Stegostoma tigrinum: one gene and its partners. The protein of the gene in region 1 interacts with the protein of each later gene in a pairwise test. Links are inferred from orthologs where the notes say so. Each region holds a gene or a part of one and is shown on either strand. Other genes may lie near its edges.

Region 1 (7,649 bases):
AGAAAGAGAGATAGAGGGGGGGAGAGAAAGAGAGATAGAGGGGGGGAGAGAAAGAGAGATAGAGGGGGGGAGAGAAAGAGAGATAGAGGGGGGGAGAGAAAGAGAGATAGAGGGGGGGAGAGAAAGAGAGATAGAGGGGGGGAGAGAAAGAGAGATAGAGGGGGGGAGAGAAAGAGAGATAGAGGGGGGGAGAGAAAGAGAGATAGAGGGGGGGAGAGAAAGAGAGATAGAGGGGGGGAGAGAAAGAGAGATAGAGGGGGGGAGAGAAAGAGAGATAGAGGGGGGGAGAGAAAGAGAGATAGAGGGGGGGAGAGAAAGAGAGATAGAGGGGGGGAGAGAAAGAGAGATAGAGGGGGGGAGAGAAAGAGAGATAGAGGGGGGGAGAGAAAGAGAGATAGAGGGGGGGAGAGAAAGAGAGATAGAGGGGGGGGAGAGAAAGAGAGATAGAGGGGGGGGAGAGAAAGAGAGAGAGGGGAGAAAGAGAGATGGGGGGGTGGAGAGAGAGATAGCGAGAGAGATCGCGCGAAATAGAGAGAGCGAGAGAGAGCGCGAGGGGAAAGAAAGAGAGAGAGAGGAGAAAGAGTGAGCGAGAGCGAGCGATCAACAGTGAAGATGCTGAGACCCCATTTCCTATTCTGGAGAGTTCAGGAGTAAGGGCCACAGTGTCAGTTGGAGAATGATGGAGGTAGCTAGTTACAATTGAGATGGCAACATTAATCTCTTAAATTCTCTGCCTCAGAGGGTTCTGGATGCTCATTCATTGCATTGAAGGCTAAGTTTCATAGATATTCGTTCAATGGAAATCAGGGGATAAGCGAAAGGATAAAAAAAAGTGAACTTAAGGTCAAACAATAGCCAACTAGTTACTGAACAGAAGAGCAGGTTTGAAGGGCTCTTATACCCCACTCCTGCCTGTGTTATGTTCCATATGAGAAAATAACCATTATAAATGACAAAGTTAGTAAAATCAGCACTTTTTTTAATTTTAGCAAAATACTATCAGTTCATTAAAATCAAATGTATAGACTAACATCTTGTAATAGTAAAAATTTTGAAAGTGTGGTTAAAAGAAATAATAAATCTTGGCAAAGAGATTTATATAGAGAATTTAGCCAGTGCTGCCAATGTCTCACATCACTTTATACAATAGCTCTTTGCTATTACATAATCAACCTTTTAGTTTCAATGCTATTTTAAATTTTGAAAATCATGTACTTGCAAGAAAATGTTGTGTTGCTCACATTTAGAACCAAAAACAATGTGGTGTAATATGTCTAAATGACCTCCAGGAATTTCCCATTATCTGAGTAAGTAAATCCAACAAGTAGCTGGAACTTACAATCATGAAAGTCTAAAGTTCAGAACTTGGTCTTTGTTTGAGTTCATGATATCTGCTGAGCCAAATGTGGCAGCACTAAAATTAGGTTAAAGGGGGAAAATGGTTTATCAGTGTAGCTGCTGCTAATCATTGTCCAGTGTACCCACAATTCCTATCTCACTGGAGTGTGTGTTTGGGGTGGTGGATGCGTGTAGCTATTTGGTGAATACAGCATTGGGATAGGCTGTGATGGCCACTCAGGTCAAATAGCAGGTTGGTGCTCATCTACATAGTTCACATAAACAATGACCACTTCAATGATTCAAGGGGACATTACTGCAAGGAAGCGGAGACAGACAAAACGGTTCTGAGGATGGGTCATTTGACCTGAAATGTTAACCCCCCGCTTTCTCTTCACAGGTGCTGCCAGACCTGCTGAGCTTTTCCAGCAATTTCTGACAGAAAATGGACTCTTTTAGCCAAATTTTCTTTAATGTCAAATAGGCTGTTAAGTGTTATGTTTCACATGTGTACACCCAATAGGAACAGTGTGGATAAATAACACTTCAGTAACACCATTTATTTTACCCTAATTTCCAAATAATATTATTGCATTCAAAATGTTGATATAACAGATTACATTTCAATTACCTGCCCTCAGTTGAAATAATGAGTCTTTATAGCAGTAAATTCATTTCCTTAAAACCATAACCACTTGGGAACTTTTCAGAGACTTTTATATGCGACCACTCCTGATCAGCATCCATACAACGTGCAAAATGAATCCCAAATCCAGGAGCGTACCGAGAGGCGACGGTGTAACGTTATGCAATGAAATCCCACACATAGTAACAGTTAGAGCCAGCACTGGAGACTGGACAGCTACCGTAACCTTGACGCATACATCTTCTGCAGCTCGCCTTTGTACCAATTTTGCAGACGGAATTAAATTATAATTCCCACCCACACCGCACCGTCCCCCGCCCCCAACACACACACAAAGGAGACGTTTAATTCCCAATGGATGATTATATAACTTCCCACGCGATACTGACACCGCAGATTGTCGAAAAGGAGAAATACCACCAATCCCCTCAAATCCCTTCGTTTCAAGCAAAACATGATCTGAAATTATCCCTCTCTCCTCCACTGGAGGTTAAAAAAAATGGCAGCTAGCAAGCACTGCAGTATTTCCAAAGTAGACTCCATCCGCGGAATGTTTCAAAATAGAGATGCAGTACATATGAAAAAAAAACTGGAATATTTGATAGAATTTTTATTTAAAAATGCATGACCAATGGACTTGACTTCGCAGTAGTCGGTATGTATTAACCCCAAGCCTGTCTGCTAGAAGGGCTATCCCACCTCCTGAAAAAAAACACGACTCAAAACTAAACTGATGCTGCTCTTACCCAAACAAACCTCCAAGAAAGGAATGCGATGATTTCACCTTCTTCTCTGCATCAGCCATCAGTTGCATGGCTTCTTTCTCTTTGCCAGAATTGTCCATGTTATTGATTTTGTTTTAATTTTGAGCCTCTGGATTTTTTTTTTCAATGCAATATGTAATTTATTGCTAATGCAGAGTCAAGCCTTCGTCGAGCTTTGCAGATGCTACAAGCTTTTTTTTCCTCTCTCTTCCCCCACTTAGCCTAGAGATAGAGAGCGCTCTTTAGCCCGCCTGCAACCCACTGACAAGCCAGTGCAGTGCTTGAGTCCTGGGCCTCATCAGCTGATCGAAGGCCGCGCCCCCTCCACTGGGGCCAGTCGGCACGCGAAGCATGCTGGTCATTGTAGTCCTCTTCCACCGCAGCCTCCAGTATTTCTGTCGACCGACCGGTGGAGCGATAACTACAAGTCCCAGAGGGCCGCCCTCACCCCGCCAGCCACCCTTCGCTCCAAGCACCCACGGGTTCGGGATTGTAGTCAGTTTGTGCAGCACAGGGGCAGATAGATGTTAAGATTACTGTTCCAGCCGGTAGCAACGTTTGAAAAATAATGGTTGCATTGTCCATAACCGTGGTTTCCCACTCATAGTGGTCAACAGGGACTGTCACCCATGCTTCCACCCTTCCTTCTTCCCAAAACTCACAACAGGATGAGTCGGTCCCCCTTGTCTTCCTCCCACCAGCCTCCGTATTTAAACGATCATTCTCTGCCATTTCAGACAACTCCAGCAGAACACTGACACCAAACACACGTTCCCCTCACTCCGCCTGTCTGCATTTCACGGGGATTGTTCCCTCCGGCACGCCCTAGTCCATTTATTGACCACTAACCCCAATCCGTCTTCCCATGTAACCATGGTGGTGAAGATGCAACAGCTGCCCATTCATTTCCTCCCTGCTTACCACTCAAGGGCATAAACAGTCTTTCTGATGAAGCTGCATTTCACCTGTACCACCTCCAATCTTGTGTATTGTATTCAGTACACCCAACGTGGGCTACTCTACATTGGAGAAATCAAACACAGACTGGGTGACCACTTTGCAGAACACCTCCAGTCTGTGCACAAGCATGACTCCTGATCTCCCCAAAGCCGGTCCTTTTAAAACAGCATCCTGCTTGCACACCCATATATCTGTCCTGGTTCCAGCAAATCACAGCACAAACCGGAGGAACAACATCTCATTTTCAGACTAGGCACTTTACAGCCTTCTGGACTAAATATTGAGTTCAACACCTTCAAATTGTGAACTGACTCCCATTTCTTCTCTTTCTTTTAGTTTTACTTGTTACATTCTCTGTCACCATGTCCTCTCGCCCCTCCTGGCATGCTATTGGGACTGCTTTCTTCTTCAAGTCTGGCAGTTAGATATACAACTGGTCTGCCATTCTCACATTCTGATCCCTAACTTTGAACTATCAAATCTTTTCTCCAACAGCACTCTACATCCATCACCACCACACACCCCCGCCCATAACAACTATAATATAAATGTTTTTCCCCTCTACACTTCATTTCAGCTCTGATGAAGAATCACCTGGACTGGAAACGTTAGCTTGCCCTATCTCCACGGATGCTGTTTGACCCACTGTGATCGCCAGCTTTTGCTGTTTTCAGAATAAAACTTGCATTGGATAAAATGCATTTTATTTTTATCCTTCCATACCTCGGGCCAAAACTAACCAGTGGGTTACCTTTGACTAGAAACTGAATTTGGACTAGGCATTGTCAATACTGTGTGTACAAGAGCAGATCAGAGACTGTGAATCGTTTGGTGAGAAATCCACCTCCTATCTTCCCAAAGCCATGTCCACCAAGACATAAGTCAGGAGTGTGATAGTATATTTTGACACAACTGGAGTAGGTTCAGGAAGCTGATCAAACTGTTCGAAAAGCTACGAAATTTCTCCATGAGATGTTTTCAGTTTTCTTGGCATGCAAGTTCAATAAGTGGAGAAAACTGTGGGAGATCTCCGTAGATTGTCTTCTGTGGATGAAAGTTTATGTTGCTGAAGAGTCTGGGGCAATATCTCATGCCCCACAAGGCAGTCATTACCTTGGCACAGAGCGAGTTTTACCTGGCTGGGAACATTTGATAACCAATCCAGAAGGGCAAGTTTGACACGTACTTGTCAACTCTTCAAGGATTTGGGCTGATTTGGTGAGAATCAAATGAACTACTTAACAAATTTGCCATTGTTGCGAAGTATTGCTTCAAAATGATCTTTAATGGAAAGGGTGTGATCACCCAGACACTGAACCCTGATTTTTATTGGTCAAATGTGTACAATTCCCAGCCATTCTAAAGTGTTGGGAAACGCAGTAATGGTTACTCCTAAATCAAGAATAAAGGCGGCATTGAAATTCTTCACTTTCAGAATTATTGACCGTAGTTCAGATCATTATCATAGGATCCCTACCATGTTGAAGCAGGCCATTGGGTCCATCAAGTCTTCAGACATCATCCCACCCAACCCCTGTAACCCTACATTTCCCATGACCAATCCCCCTAACCTGCACATCTTTGGACTGTGAAAAGAATCCCACGCAGACACAGGGAGAATGTGCAAACTCCACATAGACAGTCACCGAAGGGTGTAACCGAACCTGGGTCCCTAATGTTATGAGGCAGCTGTGCTAACCAGTAAGTCAACATACCACCCTTCTATCTTCTATTGCGGCGCCAATGACTGAGAAAATCTGTAATTTCCACTTCTTTTATGCTCAATTTGCTGGATTCTCTTTGCTTTACTTTTAACAGATTGTATTGCTGTACTGCTGAAGTGGGCTGAATCACAGACACATCCCCTCCTGGACAATCTTGGCACTTGGGATGTTTCCCTGTGCCGCAACACCAGCATGATACAGTGGCGCCCCCTGCATTGTCCTCATTTTTGACAGGTTTCCTGTTGCAGAGGTAAATGCCATTTGGTTGTAGCCAACTTATGGGTTCAAAATTTGTGTCAAGCTGCATCACGGCTTTGTATTTTGCACCCAGTTTTGCTTTATCCATTAGATTCCTTGCTCCATCATTGAAATAGCTGCTCAGAGACTGGTATCCCACCACCAAGTCATCCTTTATCCACCTGTGAACAGTACACTGGCAATGGTTAGGCAGCTCGAACCAGTGGTGTGGACTGAGGAGATTCTAAATCCTTTGTTTATAGAGGTCAGATATGGCCCACGTTAACAAACCCAATCAAGGACTTCATTGACAATGAGATCCACCTGGATCCAATCACTACAATCTATTTGGACTTTAGGAAACAGAGACCATGCCCTTACATATGCGTATAAGCTCAACCCTCAATATTGCAGCATTACAAAATATAGCTGCCTTATTTAAGTCTTCAGCCGTCTGTAACAAAGCTGCTGGCTACTCGTTTGGAGTGGGTGCATTCATTAAGAGGTCCTTCAGACTAAGATAAGCATTGAACACTGCTAGGGCTGACTGAAAATCTGCCGAGCACACATCTGCACTTCACCTATTCATGATCTTGGGTTCATTTCGCAGTACAGGTGACCCCACTACACTATACTCTCACACACACACTCTCTCACACACACATGCGCATGCGCACACACACACATATTCACACAGACAAATACACACACTTTCTCTCTCTCTCTCACACACACACACACACACACACACACACACACACACAAACATAAATCTATGGGGTGAATTTGCATTTGCAGATTTGTAATTGCAGATACACTCTATTTTGTTCAAAAAGCACACAATTTGTGGATGCAGTCAGTCAGTGGGGCATTTTCTAGATTCCTGCTTTGGAAATAAAACCAGTCTGACTCCACGTTAAAACACAGATAGTTTCTAAACAAAGCCTGACACCAAAAGGCATTGTCTGACCTGAGATGTCACCTCTTGTATTCATTGATAAAACCTTAGGTTATCTCAGGACATTAACATGAAAAATTCAGAGAGTTGAATATTAATCATTTGAAACCTGCAATTCCTTTCTAACTGATTCAAGATTTAACAGGAGGGAGTCAGCCAGCTAACGTAGGGTATTAAATACATTTGAATCAATTGTATAATCCTTTGATTTTTTACATATAAATTCTGCATCTTGGTACTTCTCTCCTTACACCTGAGGAAAGGGCAATACTTCAAAAGTTTGTGTGTTCACTTAAACCTGTGCATTATAACCTGGTGTCATATGATTTTTGACCTTGTCCACCCCAGCCCAACACCGGCACCTCCACATTATGATCTGTTCAGCACTGAGTATAAAACAGTACTGATCTAGGGTTAGAGCTGATTCAAATGGAGACCTGAGGCCGTTTTGCACCTGTGGAGCTGCACTTTCCCACCTAAGTGCATGTATCACATCTTTGACAGAAACTTTGAAGATGGGTAGGGATTGATGATTGGGTGCAGACACTCTGCCACTTCTGAGTTTACCTCTTTTCAGGGGGGTGTTCACCTATTTCACTTCGAATCATTGTACTCCTAAAAACATCGAAGGATTCTTGTCTTGTGGTTCAACCTTTCCATGTGATTGTTCAATGTTGCCTTGTGGCTCTTCAGATTACTCTGAAGAAAACAATTTAATTGGGTGTCTCCACTGCTGTCAATACTTTACAGTATGTGTTCTTTAAATCTGCAAACTCAGAGCACACTTCTGCTTTCCTTTCAGTCCAGGTTTATTGACATGATGGCAAGGCATTCCAGGTATTTCAAGTTCAATCCTTCCTTGCCATACAGGAATAAGCATGTTTTGAGCTGTCTGGGTTCCAACCTCTGAGAGAGTGCTAGTACATATATTAATCAATTGGGTCAATGGGCTGATGAGTGGTTTATAAAATAATGAGGGATATAGGTAAAGGTGAATGACAGGCGCCTTTTCCTGAGGATGG
Region 2 (7,440 bases), on another chromosome or scaffold:
GGGTGTGATGTGGGAGGGATTGGAGGGTATGTGAGAGGGAGTGGAGGGTGTGATTTGAGAGGGCGGAGGGTGTGATGTGGCAGGGATTGGAGGGTGTGATGTGGGAGGGATTGGAGGGTATGTGAGAGGGAGTGGAGGGTGTGATTTGAGAGGGCGGAGGGTGTGATGTGGCAGGGATTGGAGGGTGTGATGTGTGAGGGATTGCAGGGTGTGATGTGAGTGAGGGTGGAGAGTGTGATGTGAGAGGGAGTGGAAGATGTGATGTGAGAGGGAGTAGGGGGTGTGCCGTGAGAGAGGGTGGAGGGTGTGATGTGGGAGGGATAGAGGGCGTGATGTGAGAGGGTGGAGGGTCTAATGTGGGAGGGATTGGAGGGTGCGCCGTGAGAGAGGGTGGAGGGTGTGCTGTAGGATGGAGTGGAGGGTGTGATGTGGGAGGGTTTGGAGGGTGTAATGTGAGAGGGTGGAGGGTGTGATGTGGGAGGGATTGGAGAGTGTGCCGTGAAAGAAGGTGGAGGGTGTGATGTAGGATGGAGTGGAGGGTGTGATGTGGGTGGGAGTGGAGGGTGTGATGTGGGACGGTGTGGTGGGTGTGATGTGAGAGACTGGAGGGAGTGATGTGAATGAGGCTGGAGGATATGATGTGGGAGGGTATGGTGGGTGTGATGTGAGAGAGCGTGGAGGGTGTGATGTGGGAGGGAGTGGAGAGTGTGATGTGAGCGAGGGTGGAAGGTGTGATGTGAGACTGGGTGGAGGGTGTGATGTGAGAGGGTGGCGCATGTGATGTGGGAGGGCGTGGAGGGTCTGATCTGAGAGGGATTGCAGGGTGTGATGTGAGTGAGGGTGGAGAGTGTGATGTGGGAGGGAGTGGAGGGTGTGCCGTGAGAGAGGGTGGAGGGTGTGATGTGGGAGGGATTGGAGGGTGTGATGTGGGAGGGATTGGAGGGTGTGATGTGGGAGGGATTGGAGGGTGTGATGTGTGAGGGATTGGAGGGTGTGCCGTGAGAGAGGGTGGAGGGTGTGATGTGGGAGGGATTAGAGGGTGTGATGTGGGAGGGATTGGAGGGTGTGATGTGGGAGGGATTGGAGGGTCTGCCGTGAGAGAGGGTGGAGGGTGTGATGTGGGAGGGATTAGAGGGTGTGATGTGGGAGGGATTGCAGGGTGTGATGTGGGAGGGATTGGAGGGTGTGCCGTGAGAGAGGGTGGAGGGTGTGATGTGGGAGGGATTAGAGGGTGTGATGTGAGAGGGTGGAGGGTGTGATGTGGGAGGGATTGGAGGGTGTGATGTGGGAGGGATTGGAGGGTGTGATGTGGGAGGGATTGGAGGGTGTGCCGTGAGAGGGAGTGGAGGGTGTGATGTGGGAGGGCGTGGAGGGTGTGATGTGGGAGGGATTGGAGGGTGTGATGTGGGAGGGATTGGAGGGTACGTGAGAGGGAGTGGAGGGTGTGATTTGAGAGGGCGGAGGGTGTGAAGTGGCAGGGATTGGAGGGTGTGATGTGGGAGGGATTGCAGGGTGTGATGTGAGTGAGGGTGGAGAGTGTGATGTGAGAGGGAGTGGAAGGTGTGATGTGAGAGGGAGTAGAGGGTGTGCCGTGAGAGAGGGTGGAGGGTGTGATGTGAGAGGGTGGAGGGTCTGATGTGGGAGGGATTGGAGGGTGCGCCATGAGAGAGGGTGGAGGGTGTGATGTGGGAGGGATTGGAGAGTGTGCCGTGAGAGAAGGTGGAGGGTGCGATGTAGGATGGAGTGGAGGGTGTGATGTGGGTGGGAGTGGAGGGTGTGCCGTGAGAGAGGGTGGAGGGTGTGATGTGGGAGGGTGGAGGGTGTGATGTGGGAGGGATTGGAGGGTGTGATGTGAGAGGGAGTGGAGTGTGTGATGTGGGAGGGCGTGGAGGGTGTGATGTGGGAGGGATTGGAGGGTGTGATGTGGGAGGGATTGGAGGGTATGTGAGAGGGAGTGGAGGGTTTGATTTGAGAGGGCGGAGGGTGTGATGTGGCAGGGATTGGAGGGTGTGATGTGTGAGGGATTGCAGGGTGTGATGTGAGTGAGGGTGGAGAGTGTGATGTGAGAGGGAGTGGAAGATGTGATGTGAGAGGGAGTAGGGGGTGTGCCGTGAGAGAGGGTGGAGGGTGTGATGTGGGAGGGATAGAGGGTGTGATGTGAGAGGGTGGAGGGTCTGATGTGGGAGGGATTGGAGGGTGCGCCGTGAGAGATGGTGGAGGGTGTGCTGTAGGATGGAGTGGAGGGTGTGATGTGGGAGGGTTTGGAGGGTGTAATGTGAGAGGGTGGAGGGTGTGATGTGGGAGGGATTGGAGAGTGTGCCGTGAAAGAAGGTGGAGGGTGTGATGTAGGATGGAGTGGAGGGTGTGATGTGGGTGGGAGTGGAGGGTGTGATGTGGAACGGTGTGGTGGGTGTGATGTGAGAGACTGGAGGGAGTGATGTGAATGAGGCTGGAGGATATGATGTGGGAGGGTATGGTGGGTGTGATGTGAGAGAGCGTGGAGGGTGTGATGTGGGAGGGAGTGGAGAGTGTGATGTGAGCGAGGGTGGAAGGTGTGATGTGAGACTGGGTGGAGGGTGTGATGTGAGAGGGTGGCGCATGTGATGTGGGAGGGCATGGAGGGTCTGATCTGAGAGGGATTGCAGGGTGTGATGTGAGTAAGGGTGGAGAGTGTGATGTGGGAGGGAGTGGAGGGTGTGATGTGAGAGGGAGTGGAGGGTGTGATGTGAGAGGGTGGAGGGTGTGGCTTGTGAGAGGGTGGAGGGTGTGATGTGGGCGGGAGTGGAGGGTGTGATGTGAGAGGGAGTGGATGGTGTAATGTGGGAGGGATTGGAGGGTGTGATGTGAGGAAGTGGAGGGTGTGATGTGAGAAGGAGTGGAGCGTGTGATGTGAGAGGGGATGGAGGGTGTGATGTGGGCGGGAGAGGTGGGTGTGATGTGGGAGGGAGTGGAGGGTGTGATGTGAGAGGCTGGAGGATATGATGTGGGAGGGTATGTTGGGTGTGATGTGAGAGAGCGTGGAAGGTGTGATGTGGGAGGGATTGGAGGGTGTGATGTGAGCGAGGGTGGAAGGTGTGATGTGAGACAGGGTGGAGGGTGTGATGTGGGTGGGAGTGGAGGGTGTGATGTGAGAGGGAGTGGATGGTGTAATGTGGGAGGGATTGGAGGGTGTGATGTGAGGAAGTGGAGGGTGTGATGTGAGAAGGAGTGGAGCGTGTGATGTGAGAGGGGATGGAGGGTGTGATGTGAGAGGCTGGAGGATATGATGTGGGAGGCTATGTTGGGTGTGATGTGAGAGAGCGTGGAAGGTGTGATGTGGGAGGGATTGGAGGGTGTGATGTGAGCGAGGGTGGAAGGTGTGATGTGAGACAGGGTGGAGGGTGTGATGTGAGACAGGTTGGAGGGTGTGACGTGAGAGGTATTGGGGCGTGTGATGTGAGAGGGATTGGGGCGTGTGATGTGAGAGGGTTGGGCGTGTGATGTGGGAGAGATTGGAGGGTGATGTGAGAGAGGGTGGAGGGTGTGATGTGAGAGGGATTGGGGGGTGTGATGTGAGAGAGGGTGGAGGGTGTGATGTGGGAGGGAGCAGAAGGTGCGATGTGAGAGAGGGTGGAGGGATCTGGAATGTGCTTCCTGCAAGTGTGAAGGACTTGGTCTCATGAGAACTTTTGTTTTGAAGAGCATTATTCCATCAAGGCAACACTGCACTGGAGCATGAGTTTCCTCCCTTAATCCAAAGATGTGTTGGATGGATAGATTGGCCACTTCCCATGGCCAATCCACCCAACCTGCTCATGTTTGGAATATGGGAGGAAACCCACGCAGACATAGGGAGAATGCTTAACTCCACACAGTCGCCCCAGGATGGAATCAAACCCTGGTCCCTCGCTCTGAGAGACCATGCCTCCCTGACAGAGGAAGAATCTCCCCATTTTAAGGGACCATGATTAGGGAGAGCAGAATCTTATTGAAAACACAAACATTTTATCGAAGCTTTATTCCCTGCACTTGTCGGGACAAAATGCAAGAACACCAAACCTGGAACCCTCACAACAATTGACGCTGTTGGAGAGAAGGGTGGTCATTGTGTGGGCAAGTTGACTCCAATAGGCTAAAACATTGCCATGGAGAAGGAAATGGGGAACTAGAAGGCTTCAGGGTAATTCACATGAAGAAGTCACAAGGATTGAACATGTTCCTTTAGTTTGCAGAGGACAGGTCACTGTGTTTTGTACTAGAAGGGGTTATGTATGGAGTGCCAATGGAACACAGGCAGCATCCTCACAGGTACTGATGGGCGGGACAGGAGTTTGTGGGCGGGGCTTGGGGCTCTGGCCGTGTGAGTAGAGCAGCCTGTGCGCCTGCGCTGGTGGACGTGGCAGTCACGTGGGCTTGTCAGTGACGCCAGTAGGGCTCGAGCGCCGGGCCTTTCAGTGAGGGGACGGTAAACAGATACTGTAGAGAGGGTCAGAATCAGTCGGACTTCGAGCCCGCCGTGGTAAGTGTTTCGGTGTCCAATCTTTCCTCTTAATAGATACGTAAGCTAGAGGGCGGAAGAATTAAGTTTTTAAAATAGCCGGCTTAGAAAATATCAGAGGGAGCTGCATCCGGCGCAACCAAACTTGGGAATCCAGCCGGAGAAAGCGTGGTCCAATCAACGACCAAGTGGCGCTAGGATATGACCAATCGGCTTCTGAAGGGGGCGGGATGTTTGCACTCAATACTAAGTTTGGTTGAGAGTTCTCTTTCCCCCCCCCCACGATCACTGGGGGTGCGCACCCTTATAAAGCCTCCACTTTTTCATTTTACACACCCCCCCACTCTTATTCCTCCATCCCCAACTTCACCCCACTTTCATATGAAATTTGTTCTTTCTAAAAGCAAATTTTTTGTTTCCTCCTACGATCTTCACCCCCGCAACAGTCCAAACTCTTCTCTTCCCCCCCCCCCCCGACCACCTGCCAAATAATAACTTCATTACCACTCTCTCACATCAGTTGAATTTTGCTGCCCCCCCGCCCCTGGTGTCCAACTGTTCTCGCTTCCCCCACTGTTGTCTGACAGTTCTTGCTGCATTCCCCCCCTGCGTCTGATGGTTCTTGATCCGCCCCCCCCCCCCCGTTGCCTGACCAGTTCTTGATCCCCCCCCCCGTTGCCTGACCAGTTCTTGATTCCTTCCCCCCCCCCCTGCTGTCGTCTTCTGACTGTTCTCGGTTCTCTTCCCCCCCCCCCATGGTTGTTGTCCAATGGTTCTCAATTCTCTCCCCCCCCCCCCAAACCATGGTCATCATCTGACCATTCTCGATTCTCCGGCTTCCCCCCCCCCCCCCCCGTGGTCGTCGTCTGACCATTCTCGATTTCCTCCCACCATGGTCATCTGACCGTTCTTGATTCTCTCCCCCTCCCCTCAACATGGTCGTTGTCCGACCGTTCTTGATTCTCTTCCCCCCCCCAACCGTGGTGGTTGTCCGACCGTTCTGGATTCCTCCCGCCCCCCAACCATGGTCATCCGACCATTCTCAATTCTCCCTCACCATCCCGGTTGTTGTCCGACCGCTTTCGATTTCGTCTCTCCCCCCCCCGCCACCATCATTGTTTTCTGTCTGTTCTCACCCTGTCCCACCTCCAACCCCCTGCTTTCTTTAGTATTGCGAGGTGCAGGGTTAGTTTGTGCCCACTCAAGAAGGTAGTGTTACAAGATCTTTGTTCGAGCTTCTTGCTTGTCGAAGTGTTACGCCAGGGATGTCATTGAGTGAGCCACCAAGACTGTGGACTTGAGTCACCCAGACAGGGCTCAGACTGACCAGAGTGTCTGGAGTTTTGTCTTTCTGACAGATGTTAAACCTTTGCACCCCCTGAGGTAATCGGGAGGTGAAATAAAAGAGGGAACTGTATCTGGTGCAACCAAAGCAGAGAATTATGCTAGCCAGTGACATTGTCCAGTATGGGTCAACAGGAGATGAGACTGGTCAATATCAGTCAATATTTCTGTTGAGAAAGTTCTCTGGCACTGTTGGACAAGTAGGAGGTGCAGAAAGTTCATTCTTCCTGTGAAGCCCCATCACTAAAGCAGATTGTTTCTGCATGTGGCATCTTTCTGCACACAAACCATTGCTTGTCAGTTTCATTCATAAGGTCGCAAAGAGCTTTGGGCATTCTGGCCGAGTAAAAGTGCTGCTACATAAATGCAAGCTTTTTCTCCTTTGTTCGGCTTAAATTGTTGTAGGATGTGACTGTGCAGATGGAAGCCATTCAACCCTTCATACATGTGCCCAGGTGATGAAAGTTTGCTCGGAACAAATGATCTGAGGTGTCTTTGAAAAGTTTCTGACTGGTAGACGCAAGATTGGATTTCTGACTTGCATTAGATAGCATTGCATCTGTCAAATTACAACTTACTGGAATTGGTCCTCGTTTATCCTGTGTGAGGTTGTAGGGCTCTGGTGTCAGTTGATCCAGGCCAGTAATTTGTGGGGTCGGCAGTTCCAGCAGTCAGATTGGCATCTGTGCTGATTAGGGAATGCATGAAAATAGTTATGTTGGCTGGATTAAGGGATAAGAAGTGACTTAATTGAAACCTACAAGATCCTAAGGGGACTTGATGTGGTGCATGTAGACGGGAGCTTTCCTCTTGAGGGAGAATCTGCAACTAGACAGAAAGTAAGGTACCGCCCATTGCAGAGATGAGAAGGAATATTTTTCTGAGGGATGAGAATCTTTTAGCTCTTCCAAATAGCAATGGTCAATAATTTGGCTTTGAGTGTATGTTCGTGCAAGAATCAGTAAACCAGGGAAGGGGAAATCTCTGTAAAATGTAAACACTTCATGGGTGTGATCCTGTTTCTTGTTCCCATTTTGATCAGCCTTTGCATTGCGTTTTGTCTCGGAAATATCTCCATCTTTCCAGATTTAACCTTGCCACGTTCCTGTTACAGGGCTACAGGAACTGAACTGGCAGTGTAGGCCTGAGGGGCTGAATGGCCACCTCCTGCTTCTGTGAACCCTTCCTTTCATTCACACTGATCATACTTGCTCCGTAACTCCATCTTATCTCACCTTCCCTTGCTCGGTAACTCTTAAACCCTTTGCCTGATAAAAATCTATCAATCTCCATCTTCAAATATCTTATCATTCCAGTTCCAGAAAAGTAGGGGAAGAGTTCCATGTTTCCACTGCTCTTAGTGTGCAAAAGCACTTACTAGCAACACCCCTGAACAGCTTGGCTGTCATGTTGCTCTGACAGAGGCCTTCAACACTGTAGACTGTGAGGATCTATGGAAGATTCTGCTGCAGTATGGGCATTCTGCAAAGTTTATTGCCATCCTTTGTTTGCATATTGTTATGAAGCAAGCAATGGATCTATTATTGACCCCTTTTAGGTGAAGACAGGCAAAGTTATGTTAGCCCCCCAGTTCTTTGATCTTCCAAGCTGCGGTGCTC
Region 3 (7,378 bases), on another chromosome or scaffold:
CAGGACGAGACCCTTCTTCAGAAATGGGGGAGGGGAAGTGGTTTCTGGAATAAATAGGGAGAGAAGTGGAGGCGGATAGAAGATGGACAAAGGAAAAGATAGGTGGGCAGGAGACTGACAGGTCAAAGAGGCGGGGGTGGACCCAGTAAAGGTGAATGTATTCGGGGAGTTAGGGAGGGGATAGGTCAGTCCAGTGAGGATGGACAGGTCAAGGGGGTGGGATGAGGCTAATAGGTTGGAGATGGGGTGAGGCTTGAGGTGGGAGGAGGAGATAGGTGGGAGGAAGGACAGATTAGGGAGGCGGGGACAAGCTGGGCTGGTTTTGGAATTCGGTTGGGGGAGCAGAGATTTTGAAGCTTGTGAAGTCCACATTGATACCATTGGGCTGCAGGGTTCCCAAGCAAAATATGAGGTGCTGTTCCTGCAACCTTCGGGTGGCATCGTTGTGGCACACCGCAACTCTCCCATAATTTCTTCGGCCCTGAAACTGCTTAACCATGTTCTGAAGCAAACCAGGTACTACAGCCACATTACCTTATTAATATGCAAAATCGGTTTGAAGGTAGGAGACAGAGAGTAGTGGTGGAGGGTTACTTTTCAGACTGGAGGCCTGTGACCAGCGGTGTGTCACAAGGATCAGTGCTGGGCCCATTGCCTTCTGTTATTTATATAAATGATTTGGATGTGATTATAGGAGTTTGGTTAGTATGTTTGTAGATGATGCCAATATGGGTTGTGTAGCGGACAGTGAAGAAGGTTACCTCAGAATTCAACAGGACCTTGGTCAGATGGGCCAATGGGCTGAGGAGTGGCAGATTGAGTTTAAGTTAGGTAAATGTGAGGTGCTACGTTTTGGAAAGGCAAATCAGGGCAGGACTTAATATGCATAACGGTGAGGTCCTGGGGAGCGTTGCTGAACGAAGAGACTTTGGAGTGCGGGTTCATAGTTCCTTGAAAGTGGAGTTGCAAGTAGACAGGGTAGTGAAGAAGGCATTTGGTACACTTGGTTTTATTGGTCAGTGCATTGAGTATAGGAGTTGGAAAGTCATGTTGCAGCTGTACAGGACATTGGTTAGGTCACTTTTGGAATACTGCTTTCAATTCTGGTCTCCCTGCTACAGGAAAGATGTTGTGAAACTTGAGGTGGTTCAGAAAAGATTTATAAGAATGTTGCCAGGGTTGGAGCCTTTCAGATATAGGGAGAGTCCGAAAAGGCTGTGGCTATTTTCCCTGGCATATCGGAGGCTGAAGGGTGACCTTATAGAGGTTTATAAAATCATGAGGAGCATGGACAGGCTGAATAGTCAAGGTCTTTTCCCCAATGTAGGGGAGTCCAAAACTAGAGGGTGTAGGTTTAAGGTGAGAGGGGAAAGATTTAAAAGGATCCTAATGGGCAACTTTTTCACACAGAGGGTGGTGCATGTATAGAATGAATTGCCAGAGGAAGTGGTGTAGGTTGGTAGAAGTACAATATTTAAATGTATCTGGATGGGTATAGTAATAGGATTGGTTCAGGGGGATATGGACTAGATGCTGGATAATGGGACTGGATTTATTTTGGGTACTCGGTTGGCATGGATGAGTTGGACTGAAGAGTATTTTTCCGTGATGTACATCTCTGTCAGTCAGTGACTGTAAGTTGGAATTGTTTTACTTGGAGGTAAGAAGGCTGAGATCAGATCTGAATGAGGTTTTCAAAATCCTAAGCAGGCTGGAGAGAGCAAATAGTGTGAAGCTGTTTCCACTTGTACTAGAATGAGAGGGCACAGATTTAAAGTGATATGGAAACAAAGCAAGGGTGATGTGAGTAAAAGTTTTTTTACACAGTGAGCAATTAGGGTACGGAATGTGGTATGAGACATTCGACAGTGCATTAGATTGCTTTTTGGGAAGTAATCATACCTAGGGAAATGGGGAAAAGGCATTGACCCTCCAAACAGCATTCCACCTAGATCCAGCACCCCCACCTTATCCCCAAAATGCCACATTTACCACACTAATCCACCTAACCTGCACATATTTGGACTACGGCATGAAACCAGAGCACCCGGAGGAAACCCATGCAACACAGGGAGAACGTGCAAACTCCACACAGACAGTGACCCGAGAACGTAGGTCCCTGGCACTGTATGGCAATAGCACTAACCACTGAGTTGCCCCTTTTTATTCATGGCATATTTAATCTTGAAGAGATCAAAACTCTTTACTATCTTAAAAACTATGTTAATGCATCTGAAAATATTTTGTAACCTCTGTAGTCCATGGACATGTTGAAGAAGATTCTGGTCTCCCACCATTTTCATTCCTGGCTGTAAAAGTGGTTTTCTGTGGGTTGAAATTGAGCTCATGTTCCACCCTGATGGCTCTTGAAGTGGATGTCTTACCAGGCTATATGAGAGGGCAGCCAAGAGTCAGTCACATTGCTGTGGGTCTGGAGTCACATCAAGGCCAGATAAGCCAATGATGGCAGATTTTGTTCTCTAACGGACATTAGTTAAACAGATGGATTTTGACAATTCATGGGCATCACTGAGACTAGATTGAAGCAAATGTATGTTATCTCTGTCAGTTGTAGTGGTCAGATATGAGCCAGTGTTTCCAGAGCTTGGGCTTTTGGATGACTGATCAGTGACACCACCACTAATCCACTGCCTCCCTGAACATATGCTGACTTCCGGTACAGGAGTTGTTAAAAAAATTGATTACTTCATAGGATGCAGGCATTACCCAGCAAGGCCAGCACTTGTTGCCCAATCCTAACTGCCCTTAATATGGCCATTTCAGGAGCAGTTAAGAGTCAACCATCTGCCAACAGTCTGAAGTCACATTGTAAACCAGACCAGGAAGGACAGCAGACTTCCTTCCCTAAAGAACTTTAGTGAACCAGATGGGTTTTTATGACATTCAGTAATAGATATTATGGTTGCTATTAATGAGGCTGACTTCCTATTCCAGATTTTTATTAATTTAATCTAAATTCTGACAACTGCCCTGTCAAGGTTTGAATGCTTGCTCCCTAGATTATAAACTCAAGCCTCTAGATTGTGGTGCTAATGATATTACCAATGCACCACCATCTCCGCAAGCTTGTCAGCGCTGTGGTTCAGTGACCCTTTGAATTCTGTGTCTGATACTACCTCTCTCACTAAAACCCAAAAAAGGAGTGAGGCTCTGAAAGCTTGTGTTTTCAAATAAACCTGTTGGACTATAACACAGTGTCATGTGATTTCTGACCTGATGAAGAGCACACTTCGGGAGGCAAAAACCTAGTGGAATTATTGCTGAATTGTTAATCCAGAGACTCACACAATGTTCCAGGGATCTAGGTCTAAATCCCACCATGGGTGACAGTGAAAATTGAATTCAACAATTTAAAAAAAACTGGAATTAAGAATCTAATGATCACCATGAATCCGTTATCAAATGTCAGGAAAACCCCATCTGGTTCACTAATGTCCTTTCGGGAAGGAAACTGCCATCCTTACCTGGTCTGGCCCACATGTGACTCCAGGCCTATAACAATGGCTGATTATCATAAAAACCCATCTGGTTCACTGAACTTATTTAGGGAAGGAAGTCTGCTGTCCTTTCTGGTCTGGTTTACAATGTGACTTCAGACCTCTGGGTAATTAGGGATGGGCAGTAAATTCTGGTCCAGCCAGTGACAACTTCATCCCATCCATGAATAAAGGAAAAGAAGGCTTCAAGTGAGGCTTAAATAGTATCAGAGATAATGGGAACTGCAGATGCTGGAGAATCCAAGATAATAAAATGTGAGGCTGGATGAACACAGCAGGCCCAGCAGAATCTCAGGAGCACAAAAGCTGACGTTTCGGGCCTAGACCCTTCATCAGAGAGGGGGATGGGGAGAGGGAGAGGCGGACCGGCTCCCCATCCCCCTGTCTCCCTATTTATTCCAGTTCCCTCTCCGATGAAGGGTCTAGGCCCGAAACGTCAGCTTTTGTGCTCCTGAGATGCTGCTGGGCCTGTTGTGTTCATCCAGCCTCACATTTTATCATCTTCAAGTGAGGCTTACTTGGACTGGAGAATTGCGTACTTTCACGATAAGTTGCTTAAAGTTTGATCAGTAGTACCACAGAGACCGAGCCTGAGGCCCACGTACCAAGACTACAGGCCCCGACAGGGAGAATGAGTGCCTCAGCTGAGAAGACATTCACCTCCGGAACCTTTCGCCGAGGTTACAGTCGGTATCTTTAGGCAGTCGGACGCGTTTGTAGTTTCCGGGTGCTGCAGGTTTTCTCTTCCCCGGAGTGGTTTCCGGGTGTTGCAGGCTTTCTCTTCCCCGGGTTGGGGATAGAGGGAGCCGGTTGACTAGGGAGCAGCAGCAATGGCGACCCGCAGTCTGACCGATGCCTATGTGCTGATGCGGAACCGAGCGGCCCAGAGCCGGCAGCTGCTGGCCGAGCAAGTGAGTACAAAGCCGGGACAGGCCGGCGGCGGCAGCAGCGACGCTGCGGTGAGTCCCAGTCCCTGTGTTAGTGTGTGAGCCGGGAGAGGGGAGCAGCAAGCTGGGCGGGCAACCAGGCCTGGCACCGACACTGGGCAATATGACCCATTGAGGCAGAGTCTAATCATAACCCTCCACACCAGAATGTAGGTGTATAGCATTGTTATAGAATCTACAGCTATGGAATATTTTTACATAACTGCTACGTGCTATATGTTATAAAATGTACATGTCATTATACATAATATCATTACAAAGGATCAGGAGTAGGCCATTCGGTGCCTTCACCTGTTGAGGGGTCACAGAGACAGGGGCCAGTTCACTTCATAAGCAACTCACTCAGTCCTGTTTCTTCTTAGCCCAACATTTTCCACACACACACACTCTCTCACTCTCTCTCTCTCTTTCTCTCTTTCCAGATGATCATCTAATTCCCTTCATATAGTCAGGATTGCCTCAGTCTCCGCCTAAATCTCGGGTGGCAACTTCCAGATCCTGACCACCTGTCGCTGAAGAGATGATTTTTTTCCTCCTGTCACCTGTGGTTTCTGTTGTCATTGACCTAAAATCAGTGTCCACTGGCTCACCCTCTTCCTGCCAATCAGAACAGATTTTCCCATCTGCTGTGTCCATACCTTTTGTGATTTTAAACCACATCTGTCAATATTCTCTGCTAGGAAAACTGTCAGTTTCTCAAATTTACCCACATAACTGAAGTTTCTCATCTTTACTATAATGCTCTTAAATCTTTTCTGCACATTCCATGTAAAGTGTAATGCCTAATGTTGTAGACAATATTCTAGTTGAGGCTGATCCTAAGTTGTTATAAAGGTCCACAATAGCATCCTTGCTTTTAGACTCAATGCTTTCACTTATAAAACTTATTTCACTTATAAAACTTGCTTTATTTCACCACATCCCACCTGCAGTGATTCATCCGTATAAACCCCAGGTTCTATGCCACGTCTTGAACTGTATTCTTTTTGTTATACTTCCCCTTGTTTTTACTCATACTAGATGTATTTTTCTTTTCTGCATTAAATACCATTTGCTGTTTGTTGGTGTATTTCACCAGTCATGTCCTCTTGATTTATTCTGCTCACAATTCATTATACTCACGCATTTTGTTATTTGGCACCCCCACTTTGTCCAGTCTAGAAAACAACTGTTCCCCACAATTAATTCCTGTCACGAAGCCAACTTTGTGCACATGCTGTCACTGACCCTTACTTTGACTTTGCTTTAACTTGGACTATAGCATTTTTACAATACTGAGTTAAGTAGCAGATGGCAAATGCTTATGAAAACATAGTTGTAGTGTCACATCAACGTTGTATTGTCCTGTATTCTCTAATCTCTTCTGTTTACTCTGAACCTTCAACCTTGTTCTAGGTTGTATTATCCATATGACACAAAATACGCATGGTGGCTCGATGGTTAGCACTGCTGCCTCAGCGCAAAGCACCTGTGTTCAGTTCCACCTTCGGGTAACTGTCTGTGTGGAGTTTGCACATTCTCCCTGTGTCTGCGTGGGTTTCCTGAGTGCTCCGGTTTCTACCCACAGCCCAAAGATGTGCAGGTTGAGGTGGATTGGCCATGCTAAAGTTCCCACAGTGTTCAGGGATTTGTAGATTAGTTGGGTTATTGGGGAATGGGTCAGGGTGGGTTGCTATGAAGGTTGTGGACTTGTTGGGCTGAAGGGCCTGTTTTCACACTTGGGATTCTGTGATTTCTGAGATTTCATTCATTCGTGGGTATTGCCAGCATTTAGTGTTAATTCTTAATTTCTTGAGGAAGTTGAGTCAGTTATCTTGCTAAGGGCGTTAGTGAACTGGATGGTTTATATTGCAACTATCAACGTGGTCACAGATTATGTACTCCTGGCAAATGTGGCTCATCAATATTAATCAACATTATCTGGATATCATTAGGCTAGCTTTTATTCCAGATTTTTATTGATTTCAAATCAGACCATCTAGCATGGTGGGATTCAAACTCATGCCAAGCGGAGGCTTAGGGACAAGGCTTTGCAGAACACCTACGCTCGGTTCGCAATAAACAACTGCACCTCCCAGTGGTGAACCATTTCAACACCCCCTCCCATTCCTTAGACGACATGTCCATCCTTGGCCTCCTGCAACCCGAAGGTTGCAGGAACAGAAACGCGTGTTCCGCTTGGGAACCCTGCAGCCCAAGGGTATCAATGTCGATTTCGCCAGCTTCAAAGTCTCCCCTCCCCGCAACTGCATCCCAAAACCAGCCCAGCTCATCTCCGCCTCCCTAACTTGTTCTTCCTCTAACCTATCCCCTCCTCCCACCTCAAGCCGAACCTCCATTTCCTACCTACTAACCTCATCCTGCGCCTTGACCTGTCCGTCATCCCTGGACTGACCTATCCCCTCCCTACCTCCTCAACTCTACTGGCTCCGCCCATTTAACTTGTCTGTCTGCTCTACACCTATCTTCACTATCCATCTTCGATCTGCCTCCCCCTCTCTCCCTATTTATTTCAGAACCCTTTCCCCCTACCCCTTTTCTGATGAAGGGTCTAGGCCCGAAACGTCAGCTTTTGTGCTCCTAAGATGCTGCTTTGCCTGCTGCATTCATCCAGCTTCACACTTTGTTATCCCTAGATTGTTAGCTTGGGTTCTGTTTTTTCAGTCTGCTGACTTGACCATGACATTTTTTACCATCTGGGAACTCTGACTTTATTTCAGCTACCTTATCCCCTTGTGGAAATGGACTGTGACTGTACCTATACCATCTCCTCTTTACATTGTTACGCTGTTTTGTATGTCAGTCTTTTTGGTTCAAGTTCATTTTAATTCCATTAAAGGTGTTCCTGTTCCAATTAATTATTTGTTCCACTGAATCGATCCCTGCCTTTCCTCATAGACAATGTAAATCTTG

The links.
Region 2: the proteins of napbb (region 1) and stx5a interact in binary tests that used the Homo sapiens proteins (3 or more experiments, as listed by UniProt). The two-hybrid records come from large-scale screens. The link is inferred for Stegostoma tigrinum from reciprocal best matches to the Homo sapiens genes NAPB and STX5.
Region 3: the proteins of napbb (region 1) and stx16 interact in binary tests that used the Homo sapiens proteins (3 or more experiments, as listed by UniProt). The two-hybrid records come from large-scale screens. The link is inferred for Stegostoma tigrinum from reciprocal best matches to the Homo sapiens genes NAPB and STX16.

The regions. Positions count from the first base shown.
Region 1 is NC_081362.1:11,143,028-11,150,676, reverse strand, and holds the start of napbb (N-ethylmaleimide-sensitive factor attachment protein, beta b), read right to left. Parts: upstream 3,058-7,649; 5' UTR 2,829-3,057; coding exon 2,731-2,828; intron 2,220-2,730; exon of another isoform or gene 1,970-2,219; intron 1-1,969. UniProt on the Homo sapiens protein: Required for vesicular transport between the endoplasmic reticulum and the Golgi apparatus.
Region 2 is NC_081395.1:11,926,553-11,933,992, reverse strand, and holds the start of stx5a (syntaxin-5a), read left to right. Parts: upstream 1-4,383; 5' UTR 4,384-4,498; intron 4,499-7,440. UniProt on the Homo sapiens protein: Mediates endoplasmic reticulum to Golgi transport.
Region 3 is NC_081372.1:60,523,488-60,530,865, reverse strand, and holds the start of stx16 (syntaxin-16), read left to right. Parts: upstream 1-4,279; 5' UTR 4,280-4,348; coding exon 4,349-4,429; intron 4,430-4,457; exon of another isoform or gene 4,458-4,477; intron 4,478-7,378. UniProt on the Homo sapiens protein: SNARE involved in vesicular transport from the late endosomes to the trans-Golgi network.